Linked DNA regions of Oryctolagus cuniculus. The protein of the gene in region 2 purifies or fractionates together with the protein of the main gene of each other region. This does not show direct contact. Links are inferred from orthologs where the notes say so. Each region holds a gene or a part of one and is shown on either strand. Other genes may lie near its edges.

What was found.
Region 1: the proteins of PTPN21 (region 2) and TRIP6 purify together in Homo sapiens (affinity purification with mass spectrometry; 3 studies listed by BioGRID and IntAct, with this or other methods). This does not show direct contact. The link is inferred for Oryctolagus cuniculus from reciprocal best matches to the Homo sapiens genes PTPN21 and TRIP6.
Region 3: the proteins of PTPN21 (region 2) and WWP1 purify together in Homo sapiens (affinity purification with mass spectrometry; 3 studies listed by BioGRID). This does not show direct contact. The link is inferred for Oryctolagus cuniculus from reciprocal best matches to the Homo sapiens genes PTPN21 and WWP1.

What each region holds. Positions count from the first base shown.
Region 1 is NC_091450.1:43,008,959-43,013,231, forward strand, and holds the start of TRIP6 (thyroid receptor-interacting protein 6), read left to right. Parts: upstream 1-1,332; 5' UTR 1,333-1,649; coding exon 1,650-1,758; intron 1,759-1,986; coding exon 1,987-2,114; intron 2,115-2,220; coding exon 2,221-2,346; intron 2,347-2,498; coding exon 2,499-2,882; intron 2,883-3,062; coding exon 3,063-3,156; intron 3,157-3,243; coding exon 3,244-3,413; intron 3,414-4,113; coding exon 4,114-4,273. Other genes in the region: SLC12A9 (solute carrier family 12 member 9), read left to right, coding at 1-850. UniProt on the Homo sapiens protein: Relays signals from the cell surface to the nucleus to weaken adherens junction and promote actin cytoskeleton reorganization and cell invasiveness. Involved in lysophosphatidic acid-induced cell adhesion and migration.
Region 2 is NC_091451.1:34,219,291-34,222,935, reverse strand, and holds part of PTPN21 (tyrosine-protein phosphatase non-receptor type 21), read left to right. Parts: intron 1-223; coding exon 224-445; intron 446-3,645.
Region 3 is NC_091437.1:111,703,462-111,707,106, reverse strand, and holds part of WWP1 (NEDD4-like E3 ubiquitin-protein ligase WWP1), read right to left. Parts: intron 2,728-3,645; coding exon 2,397-2,727; intron 1-2,396. UniProt on the Homo sapiens protein: E3 ubiquitin-protein ligase which accepts ubiquitin from an E2 ubiquitin-conjugating enzyme in the form of a thioester and then directly transfers the ubiquitin to targeted substrates.

The DNA.
Region 1 (4,273 bases), on a different chromosome or scaffold from region 2:
CGACGCTCCGCCGCAAGACCACTTCCTCACGGACCCTGCCTTCTCCGAGCCCGCGGCCGGCGCCCCCGAGGGCGGCTCCCCGGCCCTGAGCACCCTGTTCCCTCCGCCACGGGCTCCCGGGAGCCCCCGTGCGCTCAGCCCCCAGGACTACGTGGCCACCATGGCGGACGCCCTCAAAATGAACAAGAACGTGGTTCTGGCCCGGGCCTGCGGGGCGCTGCCCCCGGAGCGGCTGAGCGGCGGCTCCCGGGGCCCCTCGGCGCCCCACCACGTGGACGTGTGGCCCCTCAACCTGCTGCGGCCCCGGGGTGGGCCCGGCTACGTGGACGTCTGTGGCCTCTTCCTGCTGCAGATGGCAACCATCCTGGGCATGGTGCCCGCCTGGCACAGCGCGCGGCTCCGCATCTTCCTGTGCTTGGGGCCGGGCGAGGCGCCCGGGGCGGCCGAGGGGCGGCTCCGGGCCCTGCTGAGCCAACTGCGGATCCGGGCCGAGGTGCGCGAGGTGGTGTGGGGCGAGGGCGCCGGGCCCCGGGAGCAAGAGGAAGAGGAAGAAGGGGACTTCGTCAACGGCGGGCGGGGAGAGGCGGAGGCCGAGGCCCTGGCGAGCAGCGCCAACGCCCTGGTGCGGGCCCAGCAGGGGCGCGGCACAGGCGGGGGCCCCGGGGGCCCTGAGGCCAGGGATGGCCAGGAGGGGCCCACCACGGCCCTCACCTTCCTGTACCTGCCAAGGCCGCCTGCCGACCCCACCCGCTACCCCCGCTACCTGGCGCTGCTGGAGACCCTGAGCCGCGACTTGGGCCCCACGTTGCTCGTCCACGGCCTCACCCCTGTCACCTGCACTGACCTCTGAGGCCAGGCCCCAGCTCATCCGGATTCCTGGACGATGAAGAGGGAGGGGCCACCTCCCTCCGGCCCTGCCCTTGGGACCTGGAGCCCCCCCCGCCCCGACCCCCAGGTGCAGATGCTAGGTGTCCTGGGCTCGGGCTGACCCGCCTCCTATGGGAGGGGACCCAGGGCACGGGTACCCCCGCCCGCCCGCCTGCCCGCCTCTCCTCCACTGGTGCCTTGACGGGAGGGGCTGGTCTCCTCTGCGACCCTAGGCTACCTCAGCCTGGGGTGGGGACGTTCCCTGTGTTTTATTTTTCTAACTGCTGACCGTGAATAAAAGACCAAAACACTACGGGCTGGCCTGACACTGCTGGCGGGTAGGTGAGAGGGAGGTGGTGGGAAGAGGTCGGGTGGTAGCAGGGGTGGAGACCGGGAGCTTCCAGGGCCGCAGCGAGGCTGCCACGTGCAGGCTCGGGCGGGCCGGCCCGGGCCTGCGCCTCCCACCCCGAGCCGCCCGCAGACCCCCGTGACTCGGCTCCCAGCGAGAGCCCTCCCCTCTCGGCAGGAGGGGGCCGACTGGGGGAGGGACCGCAGATTAGGGCCTAGGGGGCCACGTGACCCTCCCCCAGGAATGCGGTGACGTCACAGGGGGCGTGGCCGTCCCCAAAATTAGGGAGGAAGGGGAAAAAAAAAAGCCAGAAAAAGTTTCTTTCCTGGAGTCCCAAACGAGGTGTAGGACGGAAGAGGGGGCCGAAGTCAGAGGCCCTGGGCTCCGAGAGGCCCTGCCTGCTGTCTGGGGTCTCCTCACCCCGTTCCAGACCATGTCGGGGCCCACCTGGCTCCCCCCAAAGCAGTCGGAGCCCACCAGAGCCCCTCAGGGGAGAGCACTCCCTCGAGGTGCCCCTGGGCTGCCACCCACCCACGGAACAGGTAAGCAGCCCCTTCTGCGCCCGCGAGCCACCGGCTGCCCAGACTCACCTCTGCCCGCTCCCAGCCTGCTCCCTGCTACCCCTTCCCCTGCCAGCCGGGGGCCAGCCGCCTGTGGCCGCCTACGGCCCCCTGAGGAGGAGCGGAGGGGCCGGGAGGGCAGCGTCCAGGAGGGAGCCCCCTTCTCTCCTCCCTGGTCCCCACCTCTGGTCTCTCTTCCCCCCACCCCAGCACTCCAGCCCCACCCCAGGGTCAATTTTTGCCCCCTCCCATCTGAGCAGTGTTACCAGCCCCCCGGGGGACGCGATGACCGGGGGCCAGCCTGGGTGGGGTCCCACGGAGCACCCCAGCGCTCCCAGGTGAGGACGGCAGTGGGAGGAGGTGCGATGTTGTGAGCAGGGTGGGGGGCTGGCTGGAGGGGCGCCGTGGTGACTTGCCTCCTCCCTGCTTTGGCTCCTTCCCCAGGGGCTCCCCCCAGACAGGGGGGGCCTGCGCCCCGGCAGTCTGGATGCTGAGATGGACTCGCTGACCAGCATGCTGGCCGAGCTGGATGGGGGCCGTGGACACGCTCCCCGCAGGCCGGAGCGGCAGGTGACTGCCCCCACGCCTGGCCTGCTGCCCTCTGTGGGTCTTCAGTGCCAGTCCCCCCCTCCCCAGGGCCCCCAGCTCCCCTCTGTGTTCATCAGCCACTGGCGGGGAGACCTGGGTGGGCTTTGCTCACTGCTCCCCGTGTTTCTCCCTAGGCTTACGAGGCCCCTCAGCCCCCTGCTTACCGCGCAGGCTGCCTGAAGCCCAACGGAGGGGGTGCCCCAGCCCCTCCGCCACCAGCATCCCCCTATGGGGGCCCCACACCGGCCTCCTACGCTACCGCCAGCACCCCAGCCGGCCCGGCCTTCCCGGTGCAAGTGAAGGTGGCACAACCAGTGAGAGGCTGCGGCCCGCCCCGGCGGGGAGCCTCGCAGGCCTCTGGACCCCTTCCCGGCCCCCACTTTCCTCTTCCAGGCCGAGGGGACATCTGGGGGGGTGGCTATCGGAGCCACCGTGGGCCTGGGCCGGGGGGGAAAGAGGAGACTGTCGGGGTGTCTGGCTCTGCAGGAGGACCCAGAGGAGGCGGGCACGGGCCGCAGGTGAGCCAGGGGTCCTGGAGTTCAGGACCTTCCTAGATGATGGGTGGGTGGGAGCAGAGCCGCAGGCCTGGGGCGTGGAGCAGCTGGGGAATTGCAGAGGGGAGGGGTCCGAGAAGCTCTCAGGGGAGGAGCCTCCTGGGTTGGACCCCCTGGGTGGGAACCCCTGATTCCCGCCCCCAGGTCCCCCTGAGCCAGCCTCCGGAGGAGGAGCTGGAGAGACTGACCAAGAAGCTAGTGCAGGACCTGAACCACCCGCCCAGCGGGGAGTACTTTGGTGAGCGGGTGCCGCGGGCAGGGGACGGGAGGGTGGCGCGTCTGGCCAGGGTCTGTGCGGGGTGACCCCGTCCTTTCCTGTCCCCAGGCCGATGTGGCGGCTGTGGAGAAGACGTGGTCGGGGATGGCGCCGGGGTCGTGGCCCTGGACCGTGTCTTCCACGTGGGCTGCTTTGTGTGTTCCACGTGCCGGGCGCAGCTCCGGGGCCAGCATTTCTATGCCGTGGAGAGGAGGGCGTACTGTGAGAGCTGCTACGTGGTGAGCCCCTGGGGCTGGGGACACTGGGGTCTGGGCACTGGCAGCGGCAGGCAGGGGCCTTCCTGCAAGGTGGGGGCCGGATGTCTGAGCCCAGCAAAGGAACAGGGCTCGAAGCTGGGGCACTCAGACTGATGGACAAGAAGAGAGGCATTGTGGGAAGGAAGGAGCACCGTCCTGTAGGAGTAGGAGACATTTTATCTATCATCACCATTATTATTATTAATTGATTTGTAAGGCGGAGAGAGAGCCCAGCTTCATCTGCTGGTTCACTCTCCAGTTGCCTGTGACAGTTGGGGCTGGGCTGCACCAAAGCCAGGAGCCTGGAACTCAATCCAGGTCTCTCCCGTGGGTGGAAGGGACCCAAGTCCTTGAGCCATCATCTGCTGCCTCCCAGCATGGCCACGGGCAGGATGCTGGCGGGCAGTGGAGCCAGGACTCCACCCCAGTCACTCTGATCCGGGTTGTGGGCGTCCCAGGTGGCCTCCTAAGGGAACAGGGTTAAATTCCAACCCCAGCCAGGCAGGAGTTTTACTACCGGTGCCCGGTTTACAGGACACTGACGCTCAGAAAAGCCGAAGCCAGACTCGGATCTACGCAGGTCCACCTCTCACTCACACGCAGGGCGCTGTAGAAACAGCCAGGCGGGCTGTGGGGGCGCCCGTTGGGTTGTTTAGCTCCCGGCTCCCCGTCCTTCCAACAGGCCACCCTGGAGAAATGTTCCACGTGCTCCCAACCTATCCTGGACCGGATCCTGCGGGCGATGGGGAAGGCCTACCACCCCGGCTGCTTCACCTGCGTGGTGTGCCACCGTGGCCTGGACGGCATCCCCTTCACCGTGGACGCCACCAGCCAGATCCACT
Region 2 (3,645 bases):
CTTTAGGCCAATTTTCAACTTTAAACAGAGTGCAGAATTATATTTCTCACCAAGATTATCTTTTGATCTTGTAACTCTTAAAATTTTAACTTTGGTTTCACCTAGGTTTTCAATATTAGATAATTCTGGACTTGAAGTGTAAAACGGGATTTCAGATGGACAATTAAAATGCAGCTGTGACATGTGACTGTATTCATTGTATCCCACACATTCTGTTTTACAGTGTAAAATCCTGGAACAACGGTTAGAACAGGGAATGGTATTCACAGAGTATGAAAGAATTCTTAAAAAACGACTAGTTGATGGAGAATGCTCCATAGCGCGGCTCCCTGAAAATGCAGAAAGAAACCGATTCCAAGACGTCCTTCCCTACGACGATGCCAGAGTAGAGCTGGTCCCGACTAAAGAAAACAATACTGGCTACATCAACGCATCGCATATTAAGGTGAGGGAAACGTCTAGGCTGATAAACGGCACATACAGTTTTGGGTTAAGGTACAAGAAGGTATCAAGTCTGTATTCTAAAAACACCCCAATTTTATTCTAAAAACACCCCAATTTTGAACCACCCTGATGTTAGGTGAAAAGTGTTTATCAGACAGAGTGAAAATCACATGTATTTTCTCCACACGGGAAACTGCTCTGTGCCCAATACTGTTAGAAGAGACGAGACATAGGAAGCTTCTATTAACTGGCTTCAGAATGTTATCCTAAACCTGAACGCTTCTCCTCACTCATAAATTTTCTCAGGAGCTACTGAAATGCTGTTTCTACCTCACCACATACTGCTGTGTATCTCTATATAACATGTCTGGGCTTTCTGATGGTGTTCACAAAAGCTTTTACTTACTAAGGTGCCATCTTTTCTCTCTGCAAGCTCCCCGTAGTCTTTCAAAAAAAAAAAAAGATTTTGAGAAGTAGAGTTGTATACTGAGAGAGGTAGAGACAGAGAGAGAAAAGGTATTTTATTTGCTGGCTCAGTACTCGGATGGCTGTGATGGCCGGAGCTGGGCTGATCTAGAACTAGGAGCCAGGAGCCTCCTCCAGGCCTCCCACGTGGGTGCAGGGGCCCAAGCATTTGGGCCGTCTTCCACTGCTTTCCCAGGTCATTAGCAGAGAGCTGGATAGGAAGAGGAGCAGCCGGACATGAACCAGTGCCCATGTGGGTTGCTGGTGCTGCAGGCAGAAGCTTAGCCTGCCATGTCACACCCCCAGCCCCCCCCCCCCCCCCGCCCCACATAGTCCTTTAAAATACCATTTTGCTCTTCAAAGAAGCACTTTTCCCCTGAAAAGAGTATGATGTCACTTAACTGAGGTAACATTGCATCCATCCACGTGGAAAAGCTGACACTTCATAGCAGGTGGCTGACTAAAGCCAGATAGCCCTTGGTTCATGCTGGCTAGATTCTTTATTTGGGGAAGGAGAAACGTCTGCATAGTGAGTGAATACGTAAGTATCTGGTCAGGTGTTTTTCTTAGATGTTTGATGACATCCGAGGCTTTCCGCAGACCATGCATTCCAGTGACCGCCTTACCCTGCGAACCTGCATGTAGTTTTCTGTTTTGTAAATTGGGCCAAATTTATTTTTAAACCAAGCATTGCTTTGGAATAACTCATTTAGCCTCTCATGACTGAATGGATAAGAACCGAGTAACACTGTGCTTACACAGTGGTGCTTCCAAGTCTGCAGAGACAACCTGGTATCTGTTCAGAAGTGGACAGATGCGGGCCTGACTCCCAGATGTACCGCTCACCAGCTGTGTCCTCATCTTACTAATCTCTAAATGAACAAGTGATGATCCCTACCCGGTAGGCTTCCCATTAGATGCCACCCCACTTCTCCCCCTGCCCCCGGCTTGTTTGCTGTTAAAACCTGTAGCCATCCACAGTGCCAGCCACTGAGTGGGTAGGTGGGTACTCAGGGGAGAGGATGTGGGGCCGTGCCTCAGGGACACTGGCATCCTTACATGAGGGTGTGGGTGGAACAGGGCTTTAGGCACAGCCCTGTAAACTTCGTAGGCAGTCAGAGAGTAGTTATTATGTTATTGGTGGAGTTGTGATTTAACACAGGTCTCCTGACTACATAGGCTGCAATTACACTGTTGTATTAGCTAGTACCAAGATGTTAAACCTTAAGTGGAGAATTTTAGTAATATTGTGGAGGCTTATCTTGACCCAGAATTTCAGAAGTGAGAGATTACATTAAGCAATTTTCCCTGGAAATCTGATGTTTCACTTGAGTTTTGACGTAATTCCCTATATTCTTTGCCACATGTTTAGTACTTCAAGAAGGGGAATTATGTTTGAAATTTGGAATATTATGATGTTGATATTATTTTTATTTTTATTTTTTTATTTTTTGACAGGCAGAGTGGACAGTGAGAGAGACAGAAAGAAAGGTCTTCCTTTGCCGTTGGTTCACCCTCCAATGGCCGCCGCAGCCGGCGTGCTGCGGCCGGAGCACCGCACTGATCTGATGGCAGGAGCCAGGAGCCAGGTGCTTTTCCTGGTCTCCCGTGGGGTGCAGGGCCCAAGCACCTGGGCCATCCTCCACTGCACTCCCGGGCCACAGCAGAGAGCTGGCCTGGAAGAGGGGCAACCAGGACAGAATCCGGCGCCCCAACCGGGACTAGAACCCAGTGTGCCAGCGCCGCAAGGCAGAGGATTAGCCTAGTGAGCCACGGCGCCAGCCAATATTATTTTTATAACAAAAGGAACCATAACAGCTACTTGTTGAATGCTTATCTTGTGACAGGCATAATATATACTAATTGACTCAGTCTTCACAACAACTCTAGGCAGGTAGGAAATATTATTTTTAAAATTTGTTATTTGAGAGACAGAGAGCAAGTAGAGCTCCCCATCTGCTAGTTCACTCCCTAAAGCCCACACACAGCAGCTGGGGCTGGGCCATGGTCTAGGCTGGCAAGCAAGAACTCAATCCAGTTCTCCCACAGAGGGCAGGAACCCAATTACTTGAACCATCGCTAATTCCCAGGGCCTGTATTAGCAGGAAGCTGGAGTCAGGGGGCCAGAGGCTAAGTGGGTATCAAGTCCAGGGAACTCCAATGTGGGATGTGTCTTAATCACTAGGTCAAATGCCTGCCCCAATATTTTTATTTTTATAGGTGAGAACTGAGATTGAGAGGTTAAGCATATGACCCCAGGTCATATAGATATTAATTCAATGTACATAAAAATGTTAGGGGGCTGGTGCTGGGGCGCAGTGGATCAATGCCCTGGCCTGAAGCACCGGCATCCCATATGGGTGCCGGTTCGAGTCCCAGCTGCTCCACTTCCGATCCAGCTCTCTGCTATGGCCTGGGAAAGCAGTAGAAGACGGCTCAAGTCCTTGGGCCCCTGCATCTGCGAGAGAAACCTGAAAGAAGCTCCTGGCTTCGGATCAGCACAGCTCTGGCCATTGTGGCCAACTGGGGAGTGAACCATTGGATGGAAGACCTCTCTCTCTCTCTCTCTCTCTGCGTAACTTTGACTTGCAAATAAATAAATCTTTTTAAAAAAACATTAATAGTAGAGATTGTACAGACAAGGGAAAAAATTAAGATATAAGCCTTTACTAATTCTGCTGAATATTCTACCATGTTCTACCATGAACACACACATGAACACATTCATGTATTACA
Region 3 (3,645 bases), on a different chromosome or scaffold from region 2:
AAGTCTTGTTCCTGCACGTTTACATACTCTAATAAAACACCCTCATTCCAGCTGTTCCAAATATACACATGTTGTATCTTTCCTTATAGTTGTTGCTGTCTCTATATAAACCTTCCTGACAATTGAGTCTTGGGACATGACTTCTAAAAAAAAAAAAATTAAAAACCCTGAGCTAGAGCAATTGTGTCTCTCACCCCTCTGCTTATTTTTTTTACATATCTGTCATTAACTTAACCAGAAATACTTTTCCATCATAAAAATGTCCTTTTGAAATGCTCAAGCTCTTTAGGATGTCCATCCAACTACACCTGCCTTCTGATCATCGTCCAGTCTAGACTGGGTGTGAAGCCTATCGCTGTCTGGGACTTGCCTTTCCCATCATGCTCCAATTCCTTTCTTGCCTCTCCTAGCAATCCTGTGTGTTCTTGATCCCACATCTTCCATTTGACTGTCTATTTTTGAAGTAACAGGAATCCCTTCCTAAGAAAGATGACATGGTAAGTGAATTTTTGGAAATCCAGGATGTATGAAAATGTATTTTTTCTATGCACACATTCAACAGCATGGCTAGGTAAACTTTAGGCTGGATACATTTTCCCTCAGCATTGAAGGCACTGGCCCACTGTATTCTAGTTTCTACTGTTGATTCTGACAAGTCTGATGCCAGTCTGATTAGAGTGAAGCCTACTTTCTTTTTTCTTTTAGTCTCTAGAATTTTAAAGACTTTTTCTTTGGTCAGAATATACTAATATTTTCAAAATAAATTTTCTTAAAAATAAGTCTATTTTCACTTAGTACCTAGAATTTTGGTGAGCCTTTCAATAAAATTCCTTATGTTTGTGAACAATTTTTTGCCTTTATTTTAAAAAAGATTTTATTTATTTGAAAAGTAGAGTTACAGAAAAAGAAGCACAAAAAGAGACAGAAAGATAGATGAGAGAGAGAGAGAGAGAGAGAGAGAGAGAGAGAGAGAGAAAGAGAGAATCTTCATCCACTTGTTCACTCCTCAAATGGCTGCAACAGCCAGAGTAGGGCCAGGCTGAAGTCAGAACCAGGAGCCAAGAACTTTTTCCAGGTCTCCCACAATGGATGGCAAGGGGTCCAAATACTTCAGTCATTCTCTATTTAGAGTTTTCCAGGTGTACTACCATGGAGCTGCCCTCAGAAGTAGAGCACCCAGGACATCAACCAGTGCCTACATGGGATGCCAGAGTCATAGGCAGCAGCTTTATCCACTATACCACAATGCTAACCCCTAGAAATTTTCTTATTAAATGTTCAGAACTGGTCTCTCAGCTTTTTACATCACTTCTACTTTATAATTTTATCATTTTGCTCTACTTTCTAGCAAATTATTTGCTTCTACCAGCCAAGTTTTGTACTGTATTAAATTTCAAAAGATTTTCCAGTTCTTTTAGCATTCTTTTTTTTATAGCACCTGATTCCAGCTGTTGGGGCCACCTGGGGAGTGAACCAGTGGATGGAAGACCTCTCTCTCTGCCTTTCCTTCCCTCTCTGTGTAACTCTTTCAAATAAAAAAAAAAAATCTTAAAAAAAAAATCAATCAACTTTTTAAAAAAAGATTTATTTACTTATTTGAAAGAGTTACACACGCACACATACACAGACACAGAGAGAGAGAAGAGAGAGAGAGGTCTTCCTTCTGCTGGTTCACTCCCCAGATGGCCTCAATGGCTGGAACTGTGCTGATCCAAAGCCAGGAGCCAGGAGCTTCCTCTGGGTCTCCCATGCAGGAACAGCGGCCCAAAGACTTGGGCCATCCTCCACTGCTTTCCCAGGACTTAGCAGAGAGCTGCCTCGGAAGTGGAGCAGCCAGGACTCGAACCTGTGCCCATATGGGATGCTGGCACTGCAGGCTTTACCTGCTATGCCACAGCACCGGCCCCATGAACAGTCTATAAGATTACCAGACAGCAAAGAAAAATTAAGTTTGTTAATAGACCTAGTCGGCAAGGATATGTGACTTTCTCAAGGATTCAGTACTATAATACTGAGGAAGATGACAGCTACTTATTCTCAAGTGTGAGGTCTGGAGAGTAGACCATAAAGGAAGCTAGAAAATTGACATTATTATATGAGATGTCACACTCACCCTTACCAAAGTAAACCTAAAATCAAACTGATAGAATCTTGCAAATCAAAATCAGGTTTTTTCCCCTTCATACTAGTCACAGTTCAACTAGACGAGCAACAATCCATAGTTTCAAAAAGTATGTGCCTTGTAGCTAATAAACTAATACTGCAAATCAAATTAAAAGCCAGACTTCAAGTTTCTCAACAATGAAAACATTTTACATACATATTCAATAGTTATATATTGTCAAAAAGTTGCTACATAAAGGCAAGTCAAACAACCAAAAACATCCTTAACATACCCTGATGGCAAAGTTTCTGTGTTGGCATTTCCAGACTGTTGCCGTACAGATTCCGCACACCCCTCTGGCTGCCTTAATTTGTCAAAAGCAGAACTACTTGCAGAATTAGAATGATCAGCATCTAGTATGCTTCTAGCTTCAGATCCCAACTGTGCACTGGTAGAAGGTATACATTCATTGTTTTCTGAGGAAGTGGGTATCTCTTGAACGAGAGGGTCTTCAACAGTAGTGCTAGTGCAGTCTGAAGACAAGGTGGTTTCTTCAGGTACTACTGGAGTGCCAATGGCAGAAGCATGGTCAGTTGGCGCAGATGAGGATGATTCTCCATTAACTGAGAAGGGAAAGTTAAGATAATCTGTCAAGTAATAGCAAGGCAACCAATTTCCTAATCAATCAATACATTTATTCAGAGTCTAATCCAAACTGAACAACGTACGTACCAGGTAATGAAAACATAAGATCAAGGTTATATTTTCATTGTTCACATGTAATATATAAATGATAAAATTTTACGTTTACATACTATACCTTAAGGAAAGAGAAACCACCATTACAATAACAAGTGCTTTCCCTCCAAATGATCAGTTCTGAGAGAAAGCCTGCATGCACTATATAAAAACTGTAAAATGATCCCTTACAATCTTCTGTCTCATATGCAAGTGGTAAGCTAGTACCAACACTTTTGCCAATAATGAAAAATATATGATGGCTTTAATTATGATAGTACTATAGAGAACCATAAAAAGATTCAGGAATCCATTCTATACTTTCTAAAGAAATAATTTAGCACTAAGACCTAGTGATATAGTTTTCTTACTTCATATTTCAATGAGATTAATTGACTTCAACTATGTGTTACTATGAAAGTAAGTAAAAATAAAATTGCAAGAAGAGATCATTGAACAAAACCTATTAGAAAAGTACCATCAAGGGGCCAGAGCTGTGGGGTAGTGGGTAAAGCTGCGGCCTGCAGTGCTGGCATCCCTTATGGGTGCCGGCTTGAGTCCTGGCTGCCCTACTTCTGATCCAGTTCTCTGCTATGGCATGAGAAAGCAGTAGAAGATGGCTCAAGTCTTTGGGCTCCTGCTTCTTCCAGGAAGAAGCTCCTGGCTCCTGGCTTCAGATCGGCACAGCTCTGACCATTGCAGCCATCTGGGGAGTAAACCAGCAGATGGAAGACCTACCCACCTCTCTCTGCCTCTGCCTGTCTCTAGCTCTGCCTTTCAAATAAAAAAAATCTTAAAAAAAA